Drosophila melanogaster: one gene and its partner. The gene in region 1 interacts genetically with each later gene. Each region holds a gene or a part of one and is shown on either strand. Other genes may lie near its edges.

Region 1 (12,958 bases):
GCGAATACAAAAAAAAAAAAAATACAATTAATGGGTTTTTTGAAGCATGTAAATGTATACAGAAACAGGTCTTAAATTCGTTTAAAATGGGTTTATTTAAAATATATTCTAACGTAAGAAAATTTTTACTTACAGATACGGTCACCAAGTCGTGTCCTATTTTCCTGGCTGCTGGTGTATTTCTAGTGATCAGCTTCATAGTTTTTCTAATCCCCACTTGCTCGCATCAAAACAATCTGTATTATTTTAGCGCGGGAATTCTTTTCATTGTTAGTGGTGAGTTTTGAAAAATTTGAAAGGGTCTAAGCATAATAATGACACCGAAATTGCGTAATCATCCTGTAGGTCTAGTGATGCTGATTGGATTGATTGCCTATATATCAATACTGAAGGCGGAAATCGGATCGAAGTTAAGACCCCGGTCCACCCTTCAGCCAGCCCTCATCAAGGTCTCCTATGGCCAGAGCTTCTTCCTCTTCGTCTTTGGATTCATTGTCACGGAATTCGTTGGGGTCTTGAATATATTCCTCTTCATCAATTTGCAGGAGGTTAGCTACTACAGTGTGAGTAACTGAGCTAGTCTTAAACAATTCATAACGCTTGGATATATTGCCATTATTATTTTAACTTCATTTTATATTATGACTTTTGTTGTTAAAAGCAATTGTTGAACAACTTTTCGATGGCATTACTTTAAAGTTGCATCTGTGACAGTCGTCGCATTTGTGTTGGTGGTGCACCCGGTGGTACAATCCCCTTAGGAATAGCCCACCTCGTGATTCGTAATTCTCGCGCTTGACTGCAGAAACGTACCAACTTAAATGCAAGCGTCGCCGGATGCGTCCTTCGGGATTAGCTGCATCTTCTGCTGCGCTCTCTGTGTTCTTCACATACTTTATTTCCATACGTACATTTCCCTCCAGCGCTTGCCCTGTTTTAGTGTGGCAAACATCCACGCCAAGTTAAAGGAGGGCCAGCATCCGTTGAGTGATTCCTACAAGCGGTACAAGCAGCCCGGCATCACCACAGCCAGCCAGGAAGGACTTAGTAGCGCGGGTCAAGGTCAACAGGGTCACCAGAGTCACCACCCGACGCACCAACCGCATCCGACGGCGCAGCCACCACATGGAATCCTGAGGAGTGGCAATTCCCGACTCCATCAGGTCTACGATGCGGGACGAGGACACCCTGGAATGACCGGACAGATTGGCCATTCCGGACAGACGCAAACACTACCAGGAGCATGTCGCAAGCATCCGAATGCCGGATCGAACTTAAATCTCTATCTGCATAATGACCTGGAGAGGCGGTAAGCAATTAGGTGTTTAGCGAATTTTAATTTGGACAATTACTGTTAAGTTATGATGAAAATAAGAGATAACTCGATAGTCGGTTGCCTCGACTACCAGATACCCGTTACTTAGCTAAAATGAATTCAAAAGCTACTATTTTTTTGATTGCACATGAATGCCACATGGTGTCGATGTTCGTCCATGTGTCCATCCGTCTGTCCGTCAGTATGAAAGAGCCGCCTTCTATGTACATGCTAAATCATTCGATTTATGCTTGCTACAAAAAATCGCTTTTTTGCTTTGACTATCTTCCTCTCTTCGACTAGGTATTTAATAGGTACCATAAGATAGATAGACAAGAAGAGACGTTCTTTTCTTTTTTAATGTATAATAAATACATATGTATATGTATGTATGTATATTGATGAATGCCATTCATAAGCTATTGTATTTAACCTTTTCGTTTTAGTTTTTACTTCGAAAAGCCAGCTGTGTCCAAGTGTAATCTGCACTCGCGCAGCTTCGCCAAGTCGTTGAATGAGCTTTGCACGGATACGTCCGTGTCCTCCACCCATGTTCCCGCACCCCTTCTCCCTTCCGCTGCCGACCCATTACCTGCCCCCGCCCTGTTCGCCGACTTGCCTCAGGAATTTCCACTCACCCGATCCGTATCTACGGCCACGGAAATATATCCAGCTTCATCTTCGGCTCCAGCTCCGCCCTCCGCTCAAATGAAACGAAAGCAGCAGCGGAACATGGCCACTAATACGAACACGAAGATCTCCAACAATCCCCCATCCTCCAACTCGCAGATGGCAGATCAGTCGCGTCTTTGTGGCCTGAAGCGTGGCCTCCGGAAGACCAAGGATGAGCTATTCCAGGAGTTCTGTCGGCGAGCTGGTATGCGCAGCAAGCCAAAGAACATCTACTACATCAGTGGCGGGGATGAGGCGGAGGAGGAGGAGCAGGAGGATCAGGCCAAGCGGGAGGAAGTTCCGGATGATCCGCATCGCGATGACGACGATGACGCGGATGGCGATGACCACGGTTTCAGGCAGTTCAACCGCATGGAGGAGGAACATCTCTATGTGGTGGGAGGTGAGGTTTTATTCTGGGCAGTTTTTGATTGTTACAATAGATTGTTTTCATTCGAGTATCATTTCATTACGATTATTAAAACTTCTGTTTAATAGAAAAGTATACTTTCTTTCCAGACCATGCCCAATTGGTGGTGCCGCGTCGCACGTCCATGTGCGTGGACTCCATGGGACAGCCGCTGCGCAGACTGAACTCGAATCTGTCCCTGCACACGGATCTCAGCTTCCCCGGAACGGGTGGCTATCCGGGCATGCGAATGTCCCTGCCACAGCCGGCTGATCTCGGCCAGAGTCGCACCTTGCCGCGCTGCTTTCTGCGACAGTCGTCCGATTCGCTGGCTTCCCAGGGCTATCCATTGGGCTCCAGTCAGCAGCGTTTCTCCCAGCTGATGCTGAATCAGCAGCAGAATCGCTTCGTGTCCTCCACGTTGACACTGCCCCAGGTGGTGGCGCCCAAGAGTCAAGTGCAGTGGCCCACGGCGATTCCCTCCTCGCCGTCGAACTACTCGAATGGCTATCAACAGCATCCGCAGCCCATTTACCCAGCTCCAACATCCGGAAGTGGAGCACCTGGGACAACGGCTTCGGTCTCCGGACCACCGAAATTCCAGCGCGGCTACGCATTCGACGATCAACAGCGTAGGTCCAGTTTTGTGAGCGATGCATTCGACCTGGACGAGATCGAGCGGGAGCGACGGCGATCCCATGCCAGTCTATTTGGAATGGGTCAGGTGAGGGATCCCTACGATCTCATCAATGGCACCGCCGTCTAAGATACCCGCAACCACATACTCGTAATCAATAATGCCAAAGAAACGAAGAGCTAGCATTTTTTTTCGGAAGTAAGGTGACAAAAGAATAAGTATATGTCTATTGCAAAAATAAACTATTTAATGATTATATACAATATATATAATAGATGGTCCCAGCAGGTCTTAAAAAATTGATAAACTAAGCGCACAATCAGGCCCACAAAATCTATCAAAAGTATACATACACAAGTGAAAAAAGAGTAGTAAAATTCGAAATAGGTCTTTAAAAATTAATAAATGCGCACAATTTTGGCCAAAAAACAATGAGTTTTATTAATTGTATTATTACTATTTTGTTGCTCTATAAAGAGAGTTTTGGAACCTAAATAGATATATACTTAATCAGTTTGAACATATTAAGCACCTATTCTAGATTTTTTTTACAGGTTTATGCGTTTCCAGAACGCCTGGCTGTACGAAACCTCCGTGCTAGATTCCGCATTCCGCCGCCGGGCTCCATCCGCCACGGCGCTCATGACCAAATCCTCGAAAGCTTCGCCCGACGATCTCCCGGGCAAAGTGCTTTGCGAAGAACTGGAAGTGGAGACATCCAAATGATGAACAGCTGGTTCATTTTCGTTGATTGTGTGAAGAGTGGGAGCCGTGTGGGGGCGTTTCGGGAGCACCAAATGTGCACACAACCCCGGTTCCGATGCTGCGGTGGGTGCACTCACAGGTCTTCCTGTTTTGGCGGGCATTGTAGGTTTTACGGCCTCTGCGCCGCCAAAGAGCATCTGCATCCTGGCCATGGATTGCTGGAACTTTGTACTGGGCGATCTGCCGGCACCCATGGAGGGCAGCTCCATACTGGAACTGCTGCTGCTGCTATCCAGAAGTGGGTTTGGTGTTCTCAGGCCGAGGGCATCTTTGGCCCGTTGGAGGAGCACGTTCATCTCACCATTGCTGCTGCTTCGCGTTACAGCGGGCTTAACATTGGTCAGATGGCGATCCTGTTTCGGAGATGCCTCAGGAATCTGAAATGGCAAATCTGCTAGCCAATTCTTCTTAACGTTTTGCTTCTCCTTCTTCTCCTCCTTTCTGACTGGCATTATCTTGTCCAGCACCTTGTTCCTAGCTTCGGTGATGGCATTCGTAAAGGGATAGCTGTCCTGTTCGTGACCCTCCTCCAGTTCCGATAGCCACAGCGGTGACGACCCCTTTGAGTCCAAGATGGGATCGGGTATAAGTCGCTGGTTGCGCAGCTCCTCCAGTTGAGCCACACTAGCTGCGTCCTCCTTGCGAACGCGTCGATGCCAATCCCGGAAACCGTCCATAGTGCGATGCACCTGCTCTCGTTCCCGCAGGCAGCTGGAGCGGATTCTCCGGGCCCTTGCGGCATCCTCCGATGACTTGTGGGGGGATGTCTTCGACTTGGTTTTCTCCAGGTAGCTGAGGAAACTTTGTTCCAATAGGTCGCTCTCCTGTTCCAACTGCAGCATTCGGCTTCTAATGAAAGTTACATTATTTTAGGAATGCTATACGTAAGTACATGAAATTCACAAACTTACTTGGCACTTAGTAGAGCCTCCTCAAAGCTCGGACCTTCTGAAACTTTGCTATTTACCGGTTTGAGAGGCGTCGCCTTTGGAGGCACTGGAGTTATCGTGTTGGTGGCCACCGAGTGCATTGACGGTTTCAAAGGAATAGAAGATTGGGAAGGTCCTGGTTGAGGTACCGTTTCATCGGGCGGCGGAAGTGCCGGTGATGCAGTGGAGGGCAAAACACTCTGTACACTTGGTGAAGGGCCCCGAGGAGCAGGAACAGGTAAAGGAACAGGAAACTGTTGTCCTTGAGTAGCAGGAGCTCTAGAAACAACCCACATATATGACTTAACACGGAGTAAACGATTTGTAAATTTAAAAACTCACTGGTTTCTATTTTCAGTTGGATGCAGATCCCCAGATACGGGGCCTCCTTGGAATGTGAAAGCATTGGTTTCGCCGGCTGCGCGATGAGCACTGTCATTGTCTGCAGGAACGCTACTCGGAGAAAGCAGTCGTCTTGACGTTTTCATAGGATCACTGTAGATCCTTGCAACTGGGACCAGAGGAACAGGGTGTTCAGAAGCCCCAAGCAAGTGGGCAGGAAGGTGAGTCACTGGCACGAAGGTGCCTGCAACTGGAACTCCACCTGGCGGAGCTAATGCCAACAATTGATAGGGATATCCCAGGTCAGGATACGTGTGCTGTTCCACATGGGTCTTACCAACATTCAGCGCACCATCAGCGGCAGGCTGAGCCGGAGGCGGAGTGCAGATCCCACTGGAAATGAGCGTGGTAGACATCGCCGTGTTCCAGTTGACAGAAGCGGAGCCCACAGCAGCTCCATCCGCCCACATGGGCATGATGCGAGCCGCCTGCTCCGCTGCAAGCTCCGTCTGTTGGATCTTCTCCGCCAGCTGCTGATGGTGTGCCTCGTAGTGCTCCAGCAGCCGGAAGATCTGCTGCACGAGGTCGCGCGCCTCCGCTGACGATTGCGAGTCCCGCTCCACACGCTTGCACAGGGTCTGGAATTCGAATACAAAGTTAGTAATCAAAGGTTTAAAGTTAATACGATTGCAGAATAAATATAATGGCTGCAGCTTATTGTTGTTTTAATTCTCGAGAGACTTACCCGCCAGGAGTTCTGCCGCTTGCTTAGACGAAGCATCTCGGCCTGGTGTCGCAACTTCACCTGGAAGAGTTCATTTAGCCGCACCTTTTGCAGCTCCAGCGCCTTGTTCAAGGAGAGCTCCACCCGTTCGAGGAACACTTGGCCACTGGAGCTGTGCAGCATCTCGTGGATCCACTGTTCGTAGGACTTTTGGAAGGTTGGCGGCTCGCAACTAGCCTGATTCCCAGCGTCCTTTAGCTGCTTTTGCTCCGTTTGGGTGATGACACTTTCATTGTGAGCTGACTTTCTCGATGTTTGGGTGGCTATACTCGCCGTGGGTATCGTGCTCTCCGTTTGCACGGAGCTTTCCCGCTTCTCGGGCAGTGGCCTTTCCTTTTGCCACTTCTTCTGTTCCAACTGCTCCAGTTTCTGACCCTCCTGCAGGCCCATGAAGTGGCCGTGGGCAAAACCCTCGCGGTAGCCCCATTTGAAGCCCTTGTGCATGCCCACAGAGTGCTCCTGCTCCATGGAGAGATTGAGAACGTTGCTAAGTAGTTGGACACAGCCGCACACATCCCCCATCAGGGTCTCCATTCGCTCCATGGAGACGTACATCCGGCCCTGCGGCTGCCGGCTCTTTTTCTGCACCTTTTCGAGGGACTGGCGGATCACGGCCAGGCTGGCCAGTTGTTCACTGTGGAGACGGGGCAGCTGAGGAATGGTCACATCCAGGGCTGGCACTTGAATGGGTCCCAGGTTGGAGTGAACCACATCTTTCTGGTTCCTGCCACTGGTTACCTCATGCTCCTCTTCCTTGTCCCCGGTGGCAATTTTGATCACCGGTTCGCCCGGGTTAAATGCTTGACCAGCTTTCAAAAGTCGCTCCCTTTCGCGCAGCTCCTTCATTAGGAGATCCTCGAATTTTGTCGATGATATCACCTCAACGGGCGGAGCACACGACTTGGCCAAATGGCGGAGATTCTTAATCAGCTGATTAAGCTGCTGCTCCACGGAATGCAGAGATTGCGAGACACGACCGCCCACAAAGACACTTCGGCCATCTGCGCCCAGAATCAGCTCGTGCTCCTCCGTCTGATACAGACCAGTGGTGTCCACCTCGGGACGAGCTTCCACGCAGGCAGAGGGCTCCGTTTGACAGCCGGTGTCTTGCAGAGAGACAGGGACCGGTTGTTCCACCTCCTGCTTAGGCACGGACCTCCTGATCTCCACCAGCGTTCGCATAAGAGCCATCAGCAAGCACTGCGTTTGTCCAGCCAGATCCTCCTCGTAGTGGGCCTCCGCCAGCTTTCCAAATTCCGAATCCGCTAGAGCTTCTTTTTCTCCCAGTATGGCGGCCACGACCTTCTGCAGTTCCTCCGTCTGGAATCGGAACTCCGGCCGACTCCGGAAGTCCGGCAGGTTGCTGCGATGCGGCGTCTCGCTGCAGAAGACCGACAGTGTGAAGTGGCAGTTCTGGGAGTGCAGAAACTCCGCCACCAGAGTGTGCAGCACCATCGCCAGTGGCGAGACGAGCAGTGCGTGGGACTGAGCCATCTGCACACCAGCAGCCTTGCTCAAGAGCTGGCCTGGAACGGGTACATTTATGGTTAGATCGATTAATAAATTAAAAAGGGGGTTTTCAATAAACTTTGAGATGCCAAATAGTAAAATATCTTTCATTAGTTTGATTAGCAAACCCACCGAGTGCCGTATTATTGAAGCAGTGAATGAGCTCCACCCGCAGGTGAGAGTGCATCTCCCGGGCAATCCCCTCCTGGTCCAGCCACTGGCGGAACTTCACCTCGAACTCCTGCTCCGACATCGCGGCCAGTTCCTCGAGCTGTTGCCTCAGCCGTTCCGCCCTGGCATCGGAGTCATCCTGCTCCTCAATCTGATCCTGAGGAATAGGTACGTGCTTTCTGGTAGGCCTTCCTGTGCGGTATCCGTGTGCTCCAACCTCCGGGGGCAATGATGATCCCCGCGTTACTGAACACAAAATGGGATTATCAGTGAATATGAATCGCTATTAAGTTCGTAAAGGTTTATTGTACTGAATATTTTAATTTGAAAAGATTATTTTTCGAACAAATTTGTGTACGTCGGAGTATAAAGATTGCTGGTTTCTTAGAGTTATAATAATAATAATAAAAATAGTTATAATAATAATATTAATAATAAAAATAATTATTATAATAATAATAATAATAGTTATAATAATAATAATACTTATAATAATAATAATAAAAATATTAATATTATTATAAAAATAATAGGCCCACCTCTAGTTATATTTGATGGTCCGCACGGTCCTGGTCTGCCCAGTCCGGTTGCTTGGAGTCGCTCCCTGGACTGCGTCATTCTCCGCCTGGCGGGATCGCCGTCGGTGCTGATCCTTCGATTATGCTGGCGCACCCGCTGTGTCGCCGACGCCGCTGTGGCCCGCTCCTGCTTAATCTGCTCCTCCCGCTCCCGCTTTGCGGCCTCGTGCTTCCGCTCCCGCTCGCAAGGCATGCCGATGCCGCCCACATCCCGCTGCTTCGCCCTGAACGATAACGTTGTCGTGCTCGCCGGCACGTGGCGAACCTTCATGCCGTCCTGAAGGAACTCGAGGCTCGGATGGGATCGAGAGTTGGTCTGCGTATGCTCGGATAGAACCTCTGACCGCCGCTTACATGCGCCGCGTTTGAGTAACTGAACTTTCCAGGTAAAACGAGCACGAGCGCAAGACACTCACCACCAACAGCGAAATGTGACAGGTGCGACGGAGCCTGCCCTGCCACCTGGGAACTGAGTGAAATTGGGGAGGAGGTCAACTCGATCGTCGGGGGTTGGTCCTCCTAAAGGCGTCAGCTGTGTTGCCTATGTGAAGCGTGCTCTAAAAATTAAGTGAAATATATGACAACTGAGTTCTATGAAATGGTATTCTAAGCAAAAGCTTATTTATCATAAGTAATTGCTCACTAATACTTATAACGGCGGCAGTATTTACTGCCGAGCCCATATTAAAACAGCAATACTTCTTGTGGAAGCGTGTATTTGGTGTATTTTTCACAATAATAATATTTTGAATTTTAATTCAAAACAGTTCCGCTTTAAAGTTGGCAGTTGACTATCGATAGATAATTGTCCGCAAAACAGCTGATTGCTAAGTAGTAAGTGCATCAGCCGTACTGACGGTGAAACTGAAATATGAGTTTCTTGCGTTAAATGGTATAGAAATAATATAATATAAATCAACAAGCACAGCTGTGTTTGCCAATGCGTTTTTATAAAAAACCAAATTTGAAGACTTTGACTATTAACGGGCAGAACGTTCATGTCAGTCAGCTTTTGCAAGCGTTTCGCTGTGGCTGACAGATGGCCGAGTGCTGCAAGAGCCGATAGCTATCGAGTTGCAGTTGTTGTGTCAAACGACAAAAAAGACCCAATTGCGGTGATTCCACCAGGCAGAGCTTATCCCATACGAAGACGCAGCACAGTTCACATTAAATAAATTTCCGTAAATAGTTCTTATTTGTCACCCGCCCAAAATTAAAGTCTACTCCACTGCACCCAACCCCGCGATTATCAACGACTGCGCATCGTTCTTTGTTGTTTCGTGTAGAAACACATGTGCAAGGAAGAAGAAGAACCAGAACATCACATCACTCGTAAATAGTAAATATCTAGAGCATGCCCGATCCTTTGTGACGCGTCAGTTTCAGCCAGTTCGCCACAATTTTTGCCAAGTCATCGTCGAAAATGTCACAAAACGACAACCTACTCATCCAGATCCGCGCCCTTCTCCAGTCCGATGGCGAGAAGCTGTGGGAGGAGCCCTACTACTCCGAAGATCTTGGTAGCATCGAGGGAGCACTAGAAGTACGTACTATATGCCCACCACCCCACACCTAAATGCCTTCCAGTCAGTGGTCGGGGAAATGACAAGAATGCCTGAAATACGGTTGGCAATATAGAAATATTATATTCAAAATGCATATATTATATATATATATATATATATATATTATATATTTATTTGTTAGTTCTTTTCACATTTGAAGAAGTAAGAAGCTAGTTTCGACAAGCCGTAACTTATATACACCTTCAGCTAAGTTCATATTATTAACACTTATTTTAGTTTGATTAGTTTGATCATATGATATTATTGTCCAATTAAAAATACTTAAAAAAAAAACAACATGACATTGCACAAACGAATCTTTTAAATTCCTATTATACTTTAATAATTCTGAATTACAAGAGTAACGACAAAGATATTATTTAGTTTCCTTATATAGGTTTTTGATCTGTTTCGCTTCGACTTATTTATAACGCCTAGAATAAAAATAAGATTTTAAACCGATAGATTTGTTGGCGTGTGAAAATGTGATTGCTTTCTTGAATTATTATTTATTTTTCAATAAATAGAGGTTGAGGGATTTTAAAAATAAAGTAAGACCAATAGTAGTCAAAAGAATAGCACATTACCAGCATTCATACTCAGGAACTCAGTAGCTTTGGATTAATATAATATATAATATTTTATTCTATAATAAGATGTGTATCCATTTCATTAAAGAACCTGGCGCAGAAGTACTCCGGCATGTTGGGCATCGATATAGGTCGCTGCAAGTTCTTTTTGACCGAGCTGCAGGAAAATGCTCTCCGTACGCTGGCCGCCCGACGTGAGTTCAGCACCACAGGAATTGCCACGTTGAAGGTTCGCCGCGTTGGCGAGCACAGCGGTGCCACAATGGTGGAAGTGAAGTGCAGCTTGGACATCGTGGGCTCCGAACTCCAGGCATGCATAGCGAAGAAACTGGAAGTGCCGAATGCTGCGCACGTCAAGTGCATCGCTGCCGGCAAAGTGGTGTCCGCCAATGCCACTTTGGCCGACCAGCAGTTGAAGAACAACCAGCAGTTGATTGTCATTGTGGGCGATGGGGATAATTCTGGCGAAGCCCTGTACGAAAGGATCAATCGCATCAAGGCCGATGTGGAGGCGGTGGTGTCCTCGAAGAATAACCTAATAGAGGTGAGTAAATCGGAAGGAAAGTTGCTTAGGTTGTTGTTTAGAAGGTTTTTTAAATCACACCACTTGTTTGTATTTTCGTGTCATGCCCAGATGGAGGATCAGAATGGCAGCCAAGTGTATTTGCCGCCTTCCGAGCATAAAGCCCTGCTCATGGGTTTGGGATTCTGTGAGAAGGCCCGTGCGGCCATGAATCGCAAGCATTTTGAGGAGGCTCTGCTCCTGCTTTTGGAGGCCGACGAGCATTTTTCTACCTGTGGCTCAAAGTTTCTAGAGTCCGTGGATAACTATGCTTTGCTGAACCTCGACATAGTGTGGTGCTATTTTTGCCTGAAGAACGTTACCCAGCTCCCGGATGCTGAGCATCGCTTGGCCCGCTGCAGTCGCAATTTCGGCATCAGCTATGGCGACAATTTGGAGAGGCTGTACTCCTTGAAGGGCAAGGACTGTCCCGAGAGGGCTTTAATTATGCGGCTTAAGTTGCTCCAGGGCGTGATCTTCTTCCACCAGAATCTTCGCAATCAGGCATTTGAGTGCTTCGAAGCGGCTAAAACTCTGCTAAATGAACTAAAGATCAACAACGACCAACTGGCTCTCCTGGTCGATATGGGCTTCGAGCCCTCCGAGGCTCGTATGGCCCTGCGCTCCTGCAAGGGCGGCACCGCCGTCGAACAGGCTGTTCAGTTTATTCACGAGCGTCGTCAGCAGCTCAAGAATGCACGCATGAAATATAAAGCGTCCGAGCGTGCTATGGAGCGCCGCCTGAAGCGCTCCAATTCCAAAGATTGCACCTGGGTGAATCCCCGCAGTGTCTGCAGCCTTGCTGACATGGGATTCGAGAGCGGACTGGCCACTATCGCCTTGCAGCGCTCTAATAATGATATCCTCCAAGCGGTAAGTGTGGCCAAGAATATATTCAATGACATGAATTGATCAGTATGTTTTAACTATAATCTCATGGATGTCACGTGTTTGTAAACTATAAAATAATAGAAATATTTTTTTCTTAGGTGGAACTGCTGCAGACAGAATCGGACGAACTTACTGGTGCTTCGCCATGGTTTCCGGTCACCGTAGACACGACCAAACTGGCTCAGCTTCTGCAACTGGGATTCAACGAGAACGACTCGCGCGTGGCCCTACAGAATGCATCAAATAACATGGAAGAGGCCATCGAGAGTCTGATGTGCGCCATAGAGAGCGAGGAGGAGCTGAAAGCGATTTTAAAGCACGTTGGGCGTTTGGCCGAAAATGGTGGGCAAAATCTTGACGGCCCCTCTACTTCGAACGCCTCCGGGCAGACGCAAGTTGCTTTGCCAGCGCCCATTATCGAAGCTGTTATCAATCATGCTCGCGTCGAGATTGAAACGTACAAGGCCTACGAGCGCTTTAACTCCGACCTCAAACTGAGCGACCTGGAATACCTGGACTTGCCACTTATCCAGGAGGAGAAGATCCTGACTGAGTATTTCAATATGCTGCAGCAGTAGCTTGTATTTGACTTGCCTTTTTTATATCTATACAAAAAAATATAGAAACCCGAAACCGGTTGTCAAGATAACTGTAATCATGACTTGTCTATATTGCAAATCGTAGTCTTATAATGGCACTTAAGTGGCATTCAGCTCCCCTCCCGGCTGCTGTTTGTCCAACTAGGCAAATAGTAAAATATAGAGATTTATAAGTACATGCCTTCTATTGACAACTGCAAAATGTGATTGCGCCGAGCCAGCGGGAGAATTCACCTTTTGGAGCCACCTGAAACTTGTTAGCGCCTCTGGTCATTGCTTATTTTTTTTTTATCGTTTGTTTTTTTTTTTGTCGCTTGACTCTCGACCCCGGCTCGGACGGCGGCGCTTGATTGGGTTCAGTCGTGACCTTGTCGAGGCCAAAGGGCGCCGCTCACTAAGCTCATCCCGTCGACGAATTGAGCGGAACTTACACGATTTGCTGTAAGTATTTGCTTTGCTTAGCAAAGAATTTATTTATTTATTCAAGTAGCACCAAGACTAAATATTATAAGTCAACTAATTGGTTTTCTATATGTATGTACATACATATGTGTAAAATAGTAATTTTCTATTTATACACGTTACTCGCAGAGTGAATAGTATGTAAAATGTTGTCTTGTACAAATTGGCACGGTGCCAT
Region 2 (11,550 bases), on another chromosome or scaffold:
ATTTTGCAAAAAAAAAAAATGGGGAATTAATATATAAATTATAATTTAGCAAAAAATTGTGGTACCTGCTTAGGTTAAGGTATATCAAATAATATGGAAAGGTAATTTACCACAAACCCTAATTGTTTGCACCATGGTATAATGGCATTAGTGAGCTATACCAAAACGAGCAACTTTCGAAATCCATCAGTACTGGTGAATACAACAAACCGAAAGAAATGAGTCAAATACTACGCATGCTTTACTGTCTTCCCATTTGGCTGCTGCTGCTTTTGCGTGCTGATGAGGCAAACGGTAAGGGCATATGCCTGTATTTCAGTGAAAAAACAGTGAGTAGACTTAACTTAAGTCATTGAGATTGGAAATTTCAAAATTACAATACCATAGGCTTCTTGGTTTAGTGCCCTGACCATCTGCAAAAGCCTCCACATGTGCTTGGCTGATCTAAACACCGAAGTTACCCTATTCCAGATGAAAAGCAAAATAAACCAAGACGACCACGAGTACTGGTTTGGATTGAATGCACACGATAAGCCCACCTACAGATACGTTTCGAACAACAAGTCCATTGAGTACTCGCCGCACAATTCAAAGCTGGTGAACAACGAAGGATGCGTCTATGTTAAACAGCAAAACGACTTTTTCAAATTTGAATCGGCAAAGTGTCGCGAACACCGGAGATTCATCTGTACTAAAACCGATGAATGCGATGGTGTTAGCATGAAACATGGAAACTCAAAATGCGTCATAACCGCAGAGGAAAGAGATCTTGTAGCCTACTAACTTATAGTTTACTGCAGACAAATAAATGGTTTTTGGGACAGCATGAGCATAATACATTTTAATGAGTTTCAGTGTTCAGTGCGAGTATCCTGAGTATTTTATTTATTGAATAGCACCACCTTGCATCTAGTCTGTGGAAGCCTTTCGCTTTGCCACCGATTTAAGTTGAGCTGCATGAGCCCTGCACTTAGTTTTGTAGGCCTGAACCAGCCGCCCACCAGGTGAAATGGCAATTGACACATGAATCTGAAGGAAATTATTCAATAAGTATAGTTGCATCAAATTATTTCTATTTTTAATTACCTCCAGGTATTGCAACTCTTTTTCGTATGGTAAAGACTCCTCCAAGAGCCTTAGGATTGTCTGAAACTTTTCCGTGCCCAATATGTACGTCATTTCACCAATGTTCTGCTTGTACCACTTCGCATAGTTGTCTAGATTAGCACGAACATCCATGGTTGAGGCACAAGCAGCCCTTGCAGTCAGCAGCAAATGAAGCAAGGATCCCAGGGAAGCCGTGGATGCAGTTTGCAGAAGTCTATTTTTCAGATACTCTGCAAAGGAAAAGATCACTTTTCCTAAAAAGCAATTATACTACAGAAATCAATATACTTTTAATGTATGCGGTGGTTTCAGGATTGGCTGCGCTTGCGATAGTTTGCACAAGTATTAGATAGAACTTCCACTGATTAAAGTTTTCCGTGTTTGACTGTTTGAATAGATATTGAAGGGCTGCCTGCTGATGGCTAGCAAACATCTGCAAGTAGAATTCAATTAGGACAAGATACATAGCTCGTTTTAAGAGAACATAACCTTATCGCAAAGGTGCTTTACAAAGGTTAGTTCGTCGACGCCCTCATTTATCCAGGCGCTAAAGCTGGCGAATGCCTCGTCTACATTCTCCGATCGGTGAAGATCCAACAGGGTACTTAAATGCATGTTCATGCAAACATTTAGCGCTTCATCTGAATGGGTAATAATTTAGTTACTTGCATATCATGCAGTGCAGTAAAAAACAAACCTGGCAGGGTTTTGCACAAGAACTCCACATATGCCAAGCTGCATATCTTGGGATTGCCAACGAGGCCGGAATAGAGATTCCCCAAAGCGCTTGTCAGTATCAAGGTTAGCTTCAACGCAGATTCAGCATCTGACGGTGTATAAATCAGTAGAAATGGGGAAATAGCTAGAATCAAGATCAAGAGAAACCAACCGTAAGCCGCTGAAAAGAAAACATTTGCGAGAAGTTCGAACTCAGATTCCAGGAATATGATCAGGTCCACCTGCAGTTGATCGGAGTCCTCCTTGCTGTGAATTCAGTTACGGATAAATGGGGGTCCGTACATCTAGCAGCTTCTTTATGAAACCCACCTAAAGATGTACTGCGTGGCCGTCAGGATGCGAAGTTCCTGTAGCTGTCGGAGAACTCGAAAACTGCCGACATTCGCTGGCAGTTGGCAGAAGAACTTGGAGGCCAGAAACTGCACAGAATAGGTGTGATTACGAATATCTCTTCTTCAATCTACTCACCTTTTCTGTGCCATTCAGAATCTTCAGTAGCTCGGCAAATTCGTATTTTTCAAGAGCTCCCAATTGTTGAATTCCGCATTGCTTTTCTATAATCTGCGTAAAAGACTGGCAATTAAAATGAACTCATTTAATGTGTAGGATGAATTGCTTACTCTGCATACGAAGCCAAAGCTATTGCCGATATTGGTAAATCCTCTATTTTCCTGCACATATTCCATTATAAAAACCTCCAATTATAAAAACATTCAAAATGAACAAGTATTGTTTTTGTTGACCCGCGTGTAGTGTTACCTCAGCTATTGTGGCTGAAAATACCACACCGCTTTGAGAGGAATCGGTTATTTATAGCACGCTTATCGATTTCATTTACAGCCGTTACAATTATTTAAGTCCATTTACATTTTTCAAAATCATTTTTAAGCCATTCGTCACTCATTTATTAAAAAACCTTCCTAATAATATTTAGCTTGGAGGTCCCATACACCTATTTCGAGTAATTGTCTATTTAACACAATAATCCTTGCGCTGCTGTCGTATGACAGCGTTGAGCTTCAGACACTGCTGCCTGAGGGCATCGTTGTCGCCCTTCAGGATCTCAATGGTCTCCTCCTGCCGCTGAATGGTCTGGTGGACGCGCTTCTGAAGCTGATCCATCTCCTGCTTGTGGCGCTCGTTTAGCACTCCCAGCTCGCTCTGGATGTCCGCGTTAAGGTTGTCGCGCAGTCTGTCCCGCTCCATGATGATGTCGCCGCACATCTTTTTGCTGTGGCTCAGCTCCAACTGCAGCTGTTTCACCTCCGCCTGGCTGTTCCGCACCTGGGCGTCCGCCTCCGCCAGCTTGCCGCGAGTCTCGGCATACTTTTCCCGCAACGACTTCTCGACGCTCTCGGCCAGAACTAAATCCTTCTCGTACTTCTCCTTGAGGCGACTGAAAATATTGGGCTTAGGAGGGGGGCTCATATTATTTGGCCTGCATGTACTCACTTCATCTTTAGCTCGTGCTCCTCTTTGTGCTGCAGTGCGTCGGCCTCCATCCGCACCACCAGTTCGTCTAGCTGACGATCTCTCTCCGCCCGGTAGTGTTGCCTTATGGCGTTCTCCTTCTCCGCCTGGGCCAACTTGGTCTTGTTTTCGTGCTCCGTCTTCCACAGCTCAAAGTCAGCCTGGTACTGCTGCTCGATGGTGTTGACACGGTTCTGATACTTCTCCTCCTGCTTGGCCATGCGCTCCTGCATTTCAAACTTTGCCTGCTCCAGCTCTTGCTCCTGTTCCCGCAAAGCCTCTTGTCTTCGGGCTTGGTGCTCATTCTCCCGCTGCCGTAGTTCTGACTGCAGGCGATCACGCTCTGCGGCAAACTCCTCGGTCAGTTTCTGGCGCTGCTCCGCCTGTGTCCTCTGCTCCTCCTCCAGTTGGCGCTCGAATCGCTCCCGGATGGCAGTGCGCTCCTTCTCGATAATGGCCTCACGATCTTGGGCGCAGCTCTCGCGAATGCTAGTCTCGATCTGCTCGTGCTTCGTGCGTGCCTCTTCCAAGGCGTCCAGCAACTGCATCTGGTGGGTGCGCTTCAGCTCGGTCACCTCGCGTTGGTGGTCGCAGTTCATTTTGTTGATCTCCGCCTCCAGGCCCTTAACAGTAAGTTCCTTTAAAATGAAGTAAATTGGTGATTATTAATATAATGCTATGTAAAAAACTACTAATATTCTGGACCCTATCATAAGTAATAGTTTTGACTAAACTAAGATACTAATTACTGATCCAATGATGGAATATTCCTAAGCCATTCTTTATATGTGCAACTTTAAAGGATAACAAGAATCGAGATCCTTAAAGCTAACCTATACCTTAATTTTCTTGGTGTTCTCGCGCACCCATCGCTCTCGCCGGATCTTTTCGCCCGCCATGGTGGTCTCCTTGGTCCTAGCCAGCTCAGTTTCCAAGCGGTGCTCCCATGCCTGGTTCTGGCTCTCCAAGCGACGCGTGAGGGCCGCCACCTTCTCGCAGAGGGAGCCCTTGTCCTTGAGCAGCTGCTCGATGAATCCCTGGTGGCGGGTAACCACTTCCTCATAGTGCTTCTTCTGATCACGCAGCTTGGCCGCGGCGGTGGATTTTTCGGCCCGCAGGCTCTTCTGCTTTTCGCCACGCAGCTGGAAGACGTGCTCCTTGGACATATGGATGGCATTGGCCAACTCGTTGGCCCGCAAGCTCAGGGCAATGACCCTTCTGGCAAGCTGATGGTTGGGCAGCATCAGCAACTCGGATAGCCTGAATTAAAGGGTAAGGATAGTAAGTGAAGAACTTCAAGGGAATCCATGACTCTTCACCCACTTGGGCACCTCATCGGTGACATCGGGCTCCACCACGAACTCCACCTCCGATCGATTGCTATCCGGTATGGAACGACGTGTTTCCATCAACGTCTTGTCGCAACTACTCTCCACATTGTTCAGGTAGGCCAGGATGTCCCTGTTAGGATACCATAGTATATAACTGGATGGATACCAATGTGGTAATTTGTATTTACTTACTTGTACTTATCTCCACTTTCGGGAACTTTACCTTCACTCACAGTCACTGTGTCGGCCGTCTCACAGCGGGAATCTAGGTTTAGGTTCAGTTCGCTGGGGATTCCCTCGGAGAAGTTGTCTGTCAAGGAAATCAAATATGAGGAACGTTCCCTTCTAGATCCAAACCAGTAACTAACCCCTTTTCTTGTCCTCTTCGATCTCTTTGATGACAGATACTATTTCATCATATGTCGAGTCCCTGGAGTCCTCATTCGACTTTAGGGACAACTGGGAGGCGGTATCATTGTCCTGTGCCTCGTCCAGGTCCTCCAGTCCTGGCTTGTGCTTGCCATCGTATTGCTTCTGGTCCTGCATGCTCATCCAGCTGTCCACCTTGTCGAGATTGTACTCTGAGAGTTTCCGCTCCTCTCGTAGGCTGCCCACACTGATGGCCTTCTTCATCTTACCCAGCGGAGCTGGATTGATTGTGGACTTAGTCACCTTGGATTTGCTGCTCCTGGCAATTGGATCGGCACTGGCGGGCTTTACGTTCTCCTTTTTCTTGCCCACAAACGGTGGTGTCGAGGCCACCTTTAGATAGTTATTAATGACGCCATCGGAGCTGCCATTCGCAAAGGATCTCCTATCATCCTGCACTGCTGGCAAAAAGTTATTCTCTGCCCCGAAGTTTCTTGGGTTGCCAACGGGTCTGTAGACGACGGAACCGTTGTTAACAGCGGAACTATTGGTCGCCATGTTCTTGGTCTCGGACAGATTGTTCTGTTTCTCCTTAGTGGGAGAAGCGTACTTGTCCAGATAGTTGGGTAGTATCTCAATGTTGTTCAGGGTGTCAGTTCCCAAGTGGTTCTTGACCACTTGAACGCCTTCCACAGCCTGTTTATACTCCCTTATAACATCTAGCTCCGATGACGGAGCCTTTGGGAGAGTGGGTGTGGGACTAGTTGGTTCCACTTGCTTGGAGGACTCCATAAACCGGCAGCTTGGAGCATCACAGGCACACTTAACGTCCGATGCCGATGCCTCATTGGTGCTTGTGGTGGAAGAGGATCGCGTGCTGCATGTACAGTTCTCCGAAGGGCACTTTGGATACTCGTAGGTCTCCGCCAGAACTTCTCCCTCGGCTGCAGTGGATCCAAAATGCACGGACTTCTTCTGCCCAACGGGATCGGCTTGTTCCACTTTGCTCAGGAAACTGGGAAGAGTTAGAGGACCCGGAGCGGAGATGCTGGGACGCACTTCCTGCTTGTCATTGTCGCAGTCACTGGAGTCCAAGTCCGCGTGCATATTCGGCTTGCTGAAGGACACCCTTCCCGGAAGATCTGGCTTGGCGGTGCGCTGAAGAAGAGCCCCGTTACTGAGGCCCTGATTTCCAGAGTACGAGGAGTAGGATTTTACCTTCTCACCAACTGGCATGTTGACCAGGAACTGCTCCCCCTCCTCGCTGCTGTCGGGAGTGCGTTTGTGTAGCGAGTAGTCGGACTCGGAGGAGTTGCAGGTGCTGCGGCAGAGCCAACTGCGCTTGATGGGCTCCTCCAGCAGGGATTTCAGCAAGTCGTTCGACGAGACTTGTCTCTAAAAAGGTAATATTACAACACCGATGACCGCAGGGTGTTAAACCCACTCACCTTGCCGCCGTTGCGCAGCTCCTTCTCAACAAAGTAGTTGCTCAACCGACGACCGAACTTGGGGTCCGCCGACTGAGGTCGTCCCAGGAAAGGCGAGGAGCGACTGCGCTGCTGCAGGAAGTTGGCCGAGCGTGGCCGGAAATGGGGACACGGATTGTGGAGCGTCGTCAGCGAACGACTGGTGTACTTGGGCTTCGTTTTCTGTCGTGTGGCGAGGTTTATCTGCGGTTGACCACTCTTAGTACCTAATCCAAAAGGGGGTAGACCATGTCGCTCTGAGCTTACCTGAGAGCCCTTAAGACATAAATCCATAATAGCTTAGAATTAAGCACTCATTTAGATAGTTTTCGAACTGAATGCCCTGCCATAGCCTACTGGTTTTCGAAACGGACTAACTCCAGTTTGTTTTGGCCAACGTGAAAAACCGCCACCACTTTCATATCGATTAAACGCATGTGCTAGCCACGAGGGTCAGGAGCAGGCCAGATGTTGGTCAGCACTGCAACCCCCGGAAAAAACAGGCGGGTCGAAGTTGACATGGTTACCTTAGTGGTGAACCACCTGAGCTACCTGAACCACCTGACCCACCCTCGATCGCCGGAACAGGTGTCGCGTCCTCTGCATGATTCACCACTCCGTTCCCAATCCACACCTCTCCACTCCACTTCATCCGACTCCACTCGTTTATTATTTTATTATTATTCGTGTCTCCCAATCAATCACCGACTATGGCACACGGGCAAACCAGCGGAATCAAAACAATTAATCACGGAGAACAACTGATTGCGACTGGAGCATATCGATGCGAAGGTCACCGCACGGGGTTCAATGCTAGACATCGGCAAACACTTTCGGTTTTCATTCACCACGTCTAGAAACTCACTGACTGAGCTCGTGGTCTTAGCATTTTCGGGGGTGCTATCTGTGCCGACTTATGGGAGCATTACTCTGACTAATTGTAAACATATCTTAGATTCCAGCAAAGAACATAGTAATTCCCCATGAATCAAAGGCTGACTTCGGCGGGCAAAGCCCTGGAGATCTAGAGATCTAGATTTCCATATAGCGATACGCAACTCAATGCGCCATTTAAGACACTTCGAGTTCTAAGACAACATTCCCCCATGGGACAATTCGTTCGCCTGGGGCAAACAAATATAGTGTTATCTTTGTGGAACAAGTTAAGGTACTCTACGTGACAGTAAATACACACACTTGTGGTGGAGCACCCTTATCGAAGACCATCCAGTGACCGCGAGAGGAATATTCCAGCCGAAAGACGCGCGGTTTCAATATTAATTAATAATTTATTTAAATAAAGCAAATGGTGTCTATTGCAATACACGTAGTTTGGTCTAGCTAGTCCCGAAATGACGCTTTGGGGACCGGGCCTCCATGGGTGGCTCTATGGGGGATTAGGCTCTCCAGCTCCAGCTCCAACTCCGACTCCGACTCCATTCTCGATACTGACTGATGCGCGAAGCATAAAATTAAATTTGGCAACATTTCTCGTAATCAACTTAGCAGCTAACACAAAATACAACACAATATAGTTGATGGTTTCTTGTTTAACAAACAAATTGCACTACTTCTCATCTTGATCCGCCGATCTTCTATTCCGCCCGCAGTACGGGCGTCACCTGGACCTCGTTCTGATCATCGCTCTGGATGTCGAACTTCAGCTTGGTCAGCTCCTTGAGCTCGCCATTCGATTCGGCGGGCACCTCGCTGACCACCTTCACGGTATCCGGATACTTGTTCTCCCCGCTGCCCAATTCCTGCGAGAAGCTGACCACGGTCTTGGGTTCGTAGTTCACTCCCAGGGCGCCACTGGGATCCGGAGTGGGTATGCTGGGTCCATCGCTACTCTGTCCGTTGGTGTGCGAAATGGTAATGGCATCCGCCTCCTCCTTATGACCATTGGTGGCAGGAGCAGCCTCCTCTTCCTTAAGGCCATTGGTGGCAGGAACAGCCTTCTCCTCCTCCTTCTGGCCATTTTGCACGGGAGCAGCTGGCTCCACCACCTCCACCTTGGCTTCCACGGCTGCGGGAGCTTGAGTGGGCTCCTCTACCACGGCCTCCGCCTTTCGTTCGGCTGCCACTGGCTCTGGAGTAGGTTCTGGAACTGGCTCAGGGGTGGCTTCCACCTCCGCCTCATCCTCTCCTGCCACTGCCTGGTTAACTTGCTCAATGGCCTTGGCCACTTCTTCGGGTCCTACGTCAGAGTTCTTTGGCTCCTCACTGTGTCCATTGCTTACAGGGTCCTCTGGTTCGGGTTTAGTGATCAGGGCAGAGGTGGTTACAGCGGCCACCTGAGGCTGTACCTCCACCTTCTCCTCCTCCTCCACCTTCTCGGCCACGGGAGCGGGAATCTCGAGGGCGGGCACAATGGCCGGACTGGCCATGGTCTCCACGAACGAGGTGCGATTGGGCGAGTCCGGCGAGATCATAACGTGCGTGAAGTAGCCGCTGCGCCGGCTCTCAAAGTCCAGCACGTTCTCCTTGGCCAGACGCTCCTGGATGAGTCGCTGGCGCCTGATGAACTCCGGCACGTTCTCGTCCTCGCCCTCGGCGGGTGGGGGTGAGTCCGCCACCTTGGGTCGTCGCAGCACGACCTTGGCCACCTCGTTCTCCGACTCCGCGGTGCCATTGCCATTGGTGCTTCCATTGGTTGCCCAAGTGGCCGCGGCATTCGATGGCTTGAAGACCCCATTGAACTTGGTGCCCACTATGAACTTCTGGCTGTTGGCCACGCTGCTGTTGGCGCTCTTGTAGGCGTTGTAGTTGTTGTTGGCGCTGGGCTGGGCGGACAGTGGGTTTCCGTTTCCGTTCTCGTCGATCTTCGGCGACTTGGCGATGGTGAAGTTGGGCTTGCCGTGGCTGATCAGCAGCTTGGTGGCCGGCGAGGGACTCTTGTCCGGCAGAGGCGAGGGCAGTCCGCTGCGGATCTGTATGCTCGGCTTGTTGTTGATTGTCTCGGCCATGTCTGTCTGCCTTTGAATCTGGTCGTGATCGGGGCTTTTACTTTCCGTTTCCGTCGTTCGCTCTAACGGTGAAAGAGAAGAAGACAAAGCCAATTAATAAAACATTTGGGAGAGCAGAAATTAAATCATTCGCATTCAATCATGCAAATTCACAGGCATAATCATTCGAGGTGAAAGAGAAGAGGGCTTCGAGTAAAAACGAAAAGCGAATGGACCTCCGGCTAATTGCAGCAATTTTGTTTGATTAGCTGAAACTGACTTGAGGTTAGTAGCGGAATAATATCTTATCGCAGACCCTTAACGATTTACTGCTAAAAACTTGAACTATATGTGCACTATAAGCATTTTTTGTGAATGATTGATTAGGTTCCACTGAAAGAAAAGAGATGATTCATGGATCAGGACAATTATTTAAAATGTGATAGTGCATCCGGCGAACACTTTGTAATTCACTTCAGGCTTTCCTCAGAAACTTATCAATAAACTGGGAAAAAAAAACCTTTATACTGTTGTAAATACTTTTCATTTCTACCATCCCAATCGCTTGCCAATCTAGTTAATAATAAAGCGAAGCGCTTCGTTCTGCCAACTCACTTTCGCAAGCAAACAGTTTGCAATCGTTTCACACGGCGTATGCGTAATTACGCAATACCAGTCATTGGCAGTGGCACTGGCAGTGAGCATTCCAGGGTCAGCCAGTGTCTATGGGTCTATTGTAAGGCCCCCAAAACAAATACCGGCTGATTGCTGATAGAGCTAAACTTGCTTAAATATCAATTAGATCGATGGCACACTCAAATACCCGGGGTTTGTCCAAGTAAAATGGACTGGCGCTCGCCTGCAAACCTAATTGTCCGCCGGATCAGATCGATCAAGCCCATGTGACACTGGTGTCCATGCCAAAACCCATCAGTTGACCAAAGCACGTACACAGTGCGATCGCAACTGATAGGAATACATAGACCACTTTCATTGCCAACCCATTTCCATTTGCATTTTCCGTCGCTCTTCGACGGGCTAATTGAATTAAGAGCTGCACTTTATGGACCTGCATGCCACTCGTAAATTCCAGACGCATTCGATTGCCCCGGGAAAGGTCAGCTCTCCGTTTCGCCTTTGATTTTCGCCTTTTGATTACTCAGGGGCTCAGGGGCGGTCGAGTCACAATGAATATCTAGTTCAATTTATGCTACTCGGTTAGACTTGGCAGTTTAATTAGCAAAGTGTAGTTAGCTTTATATGGATAAGTAACCCTTACTATTCATTTCGATTGTAATGTGCTGAGTAAGCAGGAATATCCCATAAACCCGTCGTTTCTTGAAATATTTATAGGGCTATAATCAGGCCGTAATCTTTCAAGATTATCTGCAGATACTCCTACTGAGTCAGAGGGCGGCTCACATAGCTTGGCCCAAAATTGTATAATTGACACAGTAACTGTCTGGGCAAACTGGCCCACCAAAGAGTTTATTACAATTTTTTCCCCCAACCTGTTATTGGACCCCATGACAAACAGTAAAACAATGTCTGGCACTGATAAAAGCGAAACGAAAACGAATTTGTATCCGAGTCTCGGATTTTCGAGTGTTTCAACTCTGCCGCCTGGCTTACTGGCAAATGAGTCTTTTTTATTCGTTTCTGACTGCGTGCGAGTGCTAATTGCGCACAACTGGGATGAAACTCTGGCCAAAGATCGCTGCCACATAATTCCCAAGAGCAATATTTTGCTTTAGCCCTCTGTATTTGCTATTTGTGTTAGTATTATTTTCCCACTTGGCGGCTACCCGGCAATCGACCAATTGGCCTTGAAATAGCTGTTGTGTACGGCGGCATGAAGTGCACTGCCGGCTATTTTCGTTACCAATTTGCATAAGGTGAACGAGAGTGAAACACCTTTGGAAACTAGTGGAGTACCCAGGGCTGGGCTAATTTGCTGGTTAATATTCATATATAATATCACATAGTATAGTATTTGTATTGCCAACAAAATAAGTGTGCAAATTGCTTTGGGCTCTTTAGAAAAAGAAATGAGATGATAATGCTTTTTAAATTGCATATTCAAAATCAGAAAGATTAAGAACCATCATTACTCAAATACATCTT

Evidence for each region.
Region 2: of unc (region 1) and dila, changing one enhances a phenotype caused by changing the other (phenotypic enhancement), as found in Drosophila melanogaster (one study listed by BioGRID).

The regions. Positions count from the first base shown.
Region 1 is NC_004354.4:21,107,962-21,120,919, forward strand, and holds unc (uncoordinated), read right to left. Parts: upstream 8,954-12,958; 5' UTR 8,755-8,953; intron 8,669-8,754; 5' UTR 8,383-8,668; coding exon 8,073-8,382; intron 7,780-8,072; coding exon 7,495-7,779; intron 7,380-7,494; coding exon 5,815-7,379; intron 5,708-5,814; coding exon 5,070-5,707; intron 5,007-5,069; coding exon 4,710-5,006; intron 4,648-4,709; coding exon 3,582-4,647; 3' UTR 3,453-3,581; downstream 1-3,452. Other genes in the region: stg1 (stargazin-like protein), read left to right, coding at 136-276, 346-563, 924-1,309, 1,762-2,390, 2,507-3,162; CG15445 (uncharacterized protein), read left to right, coding at 9,535-9,654, 10,355-10,810, 10,901-11,701, 11,818-12,297.
Region 2 is NT_033778.4:9,820,351-9,831,900, forward strand, and holds dila (dilatory), read right to left. Parts: upstream 6,857-11,550; 5' UTR 6,776-6,856; coding exon 6,464-6,775; intron 6,411-6,463; coding exon 5,015-6,410; intron 4,957-5,014; coding exon 4,839-4,956; intron 4,777-4,838; coding exon 4,639-4,776; intron 4,576-4,638; coding exon 4,155-4,575; intron 3,954-4,154; coding exon 3,298-3,953; intron 3,242-3,297; coding exon 2,815-3,241; 3' UTR 2,732-2,814; downstream 1-2,731. Other genes in the region: CG34033 (uncharacterized protein), read left to right, coding at 219-329, 388-783; CG30001 (uncharacterized protein), read right to left, coding at 910-1,029, 1,087-1,337, 1,396-1,540, 1,597-1,748, 1,805-1,933, 1,997-2,091, 2,155-2,264, 2,314-2,406 and 1 more; hebe, read right to left, coding at 8,077-9,447. UniProt on the Drosophila melanogaster protein: Cilium-specific protein with a role in cilium/flagellum formation. May be involved in transport of components into the growing cilium.